2 linked regions of the Callithrix jacchus genome follow. The protein of the gene in region 1 purifies or fractionates together with the protein of each later gene. This does not show direct contact. Links are inferred from orthologs where the notes say so. Each region holds a gene or a part of one and is shown in the gene's direction. Other genes may lie near its edges. The genes, in order: PIDD1 and CASP2.

What was found.
Region 2: the proteins of PIDD1 (region 1) and CASP2 purify together in Homo sapiens (affinity purification with western blotting; 5 studies listed by BioGRID and IntAct, with this or other methods). This does not show direct contact. The link is inferred for Callithrix jacchus from reciprocal best matches to the Homo sapiens genes PIDD1 and CASP2.

The regions. Positions count from the first base shown.
Region 1 is NC_133511.1:131,105,779-131,108,388, forward strand, and holds the end of PIDD1 (p53-induced death domain-containing protein 1), read left to right. Parts: intron 1-161; coding exon 162-312; intron 313-400; coding exon 401-524; intron 525-609; coding exon 610-917; coding exon of another isoform or gene 918-1,036; coding exon 1,037-1,236; exon of another isoform or gene 1,237-1,259; intron 1,260-1,457; coding exon 1,458-1,716; 3' UTR 1,717-1,836; downstream 1,837-2,610. UniProt on the Homo sapiens protein: Component of the DNA damage/stress response pathway that functions downstream of p53/TP53 and can either promote cell survival or apoptosis.
Region 2 is NC_133512.1:104,204,769-104,208,585, reverse strand, and holds part of CASP2 (caspase-2), read left to right. Parts: intron 1-2,038; coding exon 2,039-2,188; intron 2,189-2,933; coding exon 2,934-3,043; intron 3,044-3,200; coding exon 3,201-3,332; 3' UTR 3,333-3,817. UniProt on the Homo sapiens protein: Is a regulator of the cascade of caspases responsible for apoptosis execution. Might function by either activating some proteins required for cell death or inactivating proteins necessary for cell survival.

The DNA.
Region 1 (2,610 bases):
AACACCATAAACTGAGATATTCTCCAGGCACTAATCATGCTGGGGACCTGCTGAGCTCTTCTTCCTCGGCGCACAGATCCGGGGTTACCCACAGTCAGTGCCCCCAGCTTCCTCAGCCCCCTCCCCGTCTTTACAGCCTCCCTCACCCCCCGCCCTCCTAGGTACTGGCTCTGGTACACCACCAAGAACTGCGTGGGAGGCCTGGCTCGGAAGGCCTGGGAGCGGCTGCGGCTGCACCGTGTGAACCTCATCGCCCTGCAGCGGCGCCGGGACCCTGAGCAGGTCCTGCTGCAGTGCCTGCCCCGAAACAAGGTGGGGACATGGGCTCGGGGGCTCAGGGCGGTGGCCGGAGGGCTGGGGTGCCGGGTTTTGGCTACCGAGCTACACAGCGTGCCTGCAGGTGGACGCCACCCTTCGGCGGCTGCTGGAGCGCTACCGTGGCCCGGAGCCCTCCGACACGGTGGAGATGTTCGAGGGCGAGGAGTTCTTTGCGGCCTTCGAGCGAGGCATTGACGTGGATGCTGGTAGGGCCTCCCCGTCCTGGAGAGGGAGCCCTGCTGTCCTCCCTGTGTCCCCTGCTCAGCCCCGTCCCACCACCCCATCCCCTAGACCGCCCTGACTGTGTGGAGGGCAGAATCTGCTTTGTCTTCTACTCACACCTGAAGAATGTGAAGGAGGTGTACGTGACCACCACCCTGGATCGGGAGGCTCAGGCTGTGCGGGGCCAGGTGGGCAAGGGGGTGGGCCCCCCAGGCTGCCTGGGCACAGGGCCGAGCTCTGAACCCCATTCAATGCCCCCTCAGGTGTCCTTCTACCGTGGCGCAGTGCCCGTGCAGGTGCCCGAGGAGGCGGAGGCTGCCCGGCAGAGGAAGGGTGCAGACGCCCTGTGGATGGCCACTCTGCCCATCAAGCTACCGGTGGGACTGAGGGACAGTGGAGGGGTGGGGGCAGGACTGAGGCCCGGGGCGGAGCCCAGGGGCACGTGGTGGAGTCTGGGGCAGAGCCCAGGGTTTTCTGCTCTTTCTCCTTCCAACAGAGGCTTCGGGGGTCCGAAGGGCCACGGCGAGGGGCTGGCCTCTCCTTGGCGCCCCTGAACCTGGGAGATGCTGAGACCGGCTTTCTGACGCAGAGCAACCTCCTGAGCGTGGCTGGGCGCTTGGGTCCGGACTGGCCGGCCGTGGCCCTGCACCTGGGCGTGTCCTACCGAGAGCTGCAGCGCATCCGGCACGAGTTCCGGTGAGGCTTCCACTGGCTGTCTGGAGGGCCCCCCTGATGCTGCCTGGCGGGCCTGTTTCTTCCAGAGGAGGTGGGGGAAGGGCAAACACCAGGCTGGAAAGGAACCATCTGGCCAAGGTTGGCCCAGGCAGCAGGGAACTCCCCGACACTCTGAGGCAGAGCATGGTGGGGGAACTGGGCAGGTGGGCAGGACTCCCTCTGTCCCCGTCCTCTGCCCACAGGGATGATCTGGACGGGCAGATCCGTCACATGCTCTTCTCCTGGGCTGAGCGTCAGGCTGGGCACCCGGGAGCTGTGGGGCACCTGGTGCAGGCCCTGGAGCAGAGTGACCGGCAGGACCTGGCTGAAGAGGTCCGGGCGGTCTTGGAGCTTGGCCGCCGCAAGTACCAGGACAGCATCCAGCGCACGGGCTTGGCCCCCAAGGACCCCGAGGTGCCTGGCTCGTCGGCCCCACAGCCCTCAGAGCCTGCCCAGGCCTAGGCCCCACAGACTTCCGGCTGGCCTGGACTTTTCCCAGAGGATGGGCAGAGCCCCCACCTTCAGGCCTCTCCAATGTTTGGGGTCGGGGTTCTCCGTGCACATCAAACCTGCACTGTTTGATTTGCTGTTTCAGAGCTTGATTTGTTGGATGGAGAAAGCACTGGAGGGCAGGGAGCGGGTTGGCAGGGTCATCAGAGGCCCAGCCCTGCTAGGAGGGAGCCCTGCCTGAACACATGCCCCACAGCCTGGTCCTGTCCCCTTCCACTGTGCCTGGGGCCTCCTGTGGGTCCTGATCTTCCTGGGAGAGAGGACCCGTGCTACAAGGTAGCCCAAATGGGCTACTTCGTTTTTCTTTTGAGACAGAGCCTGTCTCCCAGGCTGGAGTGCAGTGGCCTGATCTCGGCACACTGCAACCCCTGCCTCCCAGGTTCAAGCGATTCTCCTGCTTCAGCCTCCCGAGTACCTTAGGCTAGGGGCACTTGCCAGCATGCCTGGCTAAGTTTTGTGTTTTTAGTAGAGATGGGGGTTTACTATGTTGGCCAGGCCAGTCTCGAACTTCTGACCTCAAGTGATCTGCCCGCCTTGGCCTCCCCAAGTGCTGAGATTGCAGGCGCCTGGCTCCAGGTGGGCTGCTTTGGATACAAAGTCGCTTTTCGGCAGGGCGACTTGTGCTTCCACCTGCCCACTGGCCCTCTGCGCTGGCCCCGGCGTTTCCACGGAGCACCTGTTCTGCCCTGGAGACCATGCCTCCCCCAGGACGCCCTTATCCACCGGTGCTCTGCCACCTGCCCTCGCCCCGCGGGTCCTTGTCCCTGTAGGGGCCTGAGGCCTGGAAACCAAGGAAGGACCTTGGGGTCATGCAGCCTGGCCTCTGCGCGCAGAACTGCCACCTTC
Region 2 (3,817 bases), on another chromosome or scaffold:
CTGAACTTTTCCTGCTCTGTCCCCAGGCCTAGAGCACTGCCTGACGCGTGGTAGCACTTACAAATGTTGAATGAATGGGTGAAAATTAATCTGCCTAAAAAACTGTGGGTATCATGTAAAAAACAAATAGGAGGATATTGTGACAAAAGAACTAATGGCATTGATTGATGGGTCTGTGATATAAAGGTGAGAGAGGAATTCTCCTTTCTCTTTATCTTGGCCTATTACTATTAACTTGGTGTCATTACTAACTATTAGTTGTGGTCATTTTCTCCTCCTATATCCAGGGATTTAATGCACTATGGGATCTGGATAAGGAGTAATTGCTCTTTTCTGGAGTAATCTGAATCTTTTGCTGTCTCTCCAACTTCTCTGAAATTAAATCCTTCAAGGAATGACCAGTAGCCAACTGATCTTAGAAAACTTGAGTTCTCCTGTGTTCCTGCTGTATTTGGTTAATATAATTAATACCTAGAAAAAGCTCCAACCCCTGCCCCAATTGGCTTCTAAACTGGAATGTAAGCCCTATGACGGCAGGAGTTTTCTCTTCACTCTGTCCCCAGGGATTAAAGTCAAATAGTGCCCAACACCTGGCAGTTGCTTGACACAATTTCATTAAATCTGCGTTTTGGTCCTTTTCCCCACAATTCTTGAAGCTTCCCTTCCTTCTTAGTCTCCTTTGTTGTTGCCTGGAGCAGGGAGTACTATAAAACAGCATACTCTTACTTTTGATGTGTTGACCTGAAAGTCCTCCCTATCTCTCTTCCCTCCTGACAGCACCCCTGCCCACACCCAAAACAAAACATCATCATCAAAAATAAGAATCTGTCTTGTGATAGATAAGGCCTTTATCAAGAACATGGGCATCTGCTCAGGGTATGTTGAGAAACTACTGCTAAAATTGAATAAGGATGATCTTCTTCAATTTTCTGGGAGAAAATAGTCTAATTCTCCCCATTTTAAGTTTTTTCTCTTTTAAAATTTTCTTACGGCCAAGCACAGTGGCTCATGCATATAATCCCAACACTTTGGGAGGCCGAGGCGGAAGGATCCCTTGAGGCTGGGCATTCGAGACAAGCCTGGTCAATGTAGTGGGACCCCATCTCTGTTGGAAAAAAAAAAAAAAAAGATTAAAAAAATTTTTTATTGGCCAGGCATCCCAGCACTTTGGGAGACTGACGCAGGTGGATCACAAGTTCAAGAGATGGAGACCATTTTGGCCAACATGGTAAAACCCCGTCTCTACTAAAAACACAAAAATTATCTGGGTTTGGTGGTGCACCGCTGTAGTCCCAGCTACTTAGGAGGCTGAGGCAGGAGAATTGCTTGAACTCAGGAGGTGGAGGCTGCAGTGAGCCGCGGTTGTGCCACTGAACTCCAGCCTGGCAACAGAGCGAGACTGTCTCAAAAATTTAAAAAAAGGTTTTTTTCTTAAGTTTTGGATGCTTGCTCTAATTATCTTATGAAATTAACAAACAAGTACTGAGTGCTTCAAAGATACCAAAATCACCTTGGAAACAACTGATCATATTTTTTTGATACATTGTTTGAAATTGTGATTTTTTTATACAGCATACTTATAGTAACCATATTTGTTATTACTTTTTTTGTTTATGTAATAAAATTAAGTGTATCAATATTTTATTATGTACTGCAATAAAAAGCACTATGACTCCCAGGCATATTGTTAATTGAACAAGTGAATTGTGGACTTAGATGATTCCATTTACAAGGAGTATTTGATTGGGCATTTTCCCTGTTTTACACAGAATGGGAACTGCTCTAGCCACATAGATGTGCATGTGCTTGAGCGTGGTACCTGGCCTGTGCGAGGCATCCCCTGAGTAACAGATGCATGCTGGGAGAGTAATGATTTTTTTTTTTTTTTTTTTTTAGTTTATCAACCATAGGTTGGAGGCAACAGCTGGAAATGGCTCTTCCCCATCAAGGTTATAGGGAACGTGGGCTTGCCTGTGTCAGGCCCAGGAGAGATGGGAAGAAGTAACATCATTGTCCATTCTGTCTGCCTTTGTTACAGATGAGACTGATCGTGGGGTTGACCAACAAGATGGAAAGAGCCATGCAGGATCCCCTGGGTGCGAGGAGAGTGATGCTGGTAAAGAGGAGTTGCTGAGGATGAGACTGCCCACGCGCTCAGACATGATATGCGGCTATGCCTGCCTCAAAGGTACTTTGAGTTCCAAGAGAGTTGAGTCATACCTCGTTTTATTGCACTTTGCTTTGTGGTGCTTTGCAGATACTGGTTGAGTATCCCTTATATGAAGTGTTGGGACCAGAAGTGTTTCAGATTGTGGATTTTTTTGGTTTTTTTGATTTTGGAATTTTTGCACTATACTTACTAGTTGAGTGTCCCGTATCCAAGTATTCTAAATGTAAAATGCTCCAGTGAGCACTTCCTTTGAGCATCATGTTGGTGCTTGGAAAGTTTCAGATTTTGAAGCATTTCAGATTTTTGGATTTGGGATGCTCAGCCATTTTTTTTACAAATTGAAGGTTTGTGGCAATCCTTTATCGAGTGTCTGTCAGCACCATTTTTCTGTTGGCATGCCTCTGTTAGCATTTTTCAGCAATAAAGTGTGTTTTAATTAAAGCATATGCATTTTTTTAGACATAATGCTGTTGCACACTTAATAGACTGTAGAATAGTAACCATAACTTTCATACACACCGGGAGACCTGAAAGTTCGTATGACTTGCTTTATTGCCATACTCACTTTCTTGAGCTGGTCTGGAAACAAACCTATAGTATCTCCAAAGAATGCCAGTAATCCAAAAGAGTGTACCCTCCTAAACTTGGATTCTTCATGCTGGGCTCTGACTGGGGAGGGTGCAGGTGCCATGGCCGAGTCTAGTTTGGGAAGTCCAGCTGTGTGAGGGCACTCACACTCTGACTAATGCTCTTTTGGTTGCAGGGACCGCTGCCATGCGGAACACCAAACGAGGTTCCTGGTACATCGAGGCCCTTGCTCAAGTGTTTTCTGAGCGAGCTTGTGATATGCACGTGGCTGACATGCTGGTTAAGGTGAGTCTGCAGGCTCCGTGACCCCCATACGTCTCCACAGTGCTCTGTTTTCCTCTGCCCTTGAATGCCCTTTCATAGTCCGTCTCCCCTTCCCATTATGCTGCCCTCATGAAGCCCGAGATTCTCAGACTTGGGCCTATTGCTTCCACCCCTCCAGGTGAATGCACTTATCAAGGATCGGGAAGGCTACGCCCCTGGCACAGAGTTTCACCGGTGCAAGGAGATGTCTGAGTACTGCAGCACTCTGTGCCGTCACCTCTACCTGTTCCCAGGACACCCTCCCACATGATGCCGCCTCCCCATCGTCCACGCCAAGTGGAAGCCACTGGACCACAGGAGGTGTGATAGAGCCTTTGATCTTCAGGATGCACGGTTTCTGTTTTTCCCCCTCAGGGATGTGGGAATCTCCCAGACTTGTTTCCTGTGCCCATCATCTCTGCCTTTGAGTGTGGGACTCCAGGCCAGCTCCTCTTCTGTGAAGCCCTCTGCCTGTAGAGCCCGCTGTGGTTGGACCTATTGCCAGGAATGTTTTGGCTGCAGGTGAAGAGCCTGACAAGTGAAGTAATAAACACAGTGTGGTTATGGGGAGAGGGCATATAAGCTCCCCCATATTTGGGTTCAGTTCTGGCTTTTGTAGATGCCACTTTAGTCATTGCTGTTATTTCATTAGTTAAGATGTCTCAGATGTCATCTTTTCTTTCATTCATATCCCCAGCCGTTTTTGTCCTAGAGAGAGTTTGGAAGCTGTCCAAATTTAATGTAGACATTACTGTT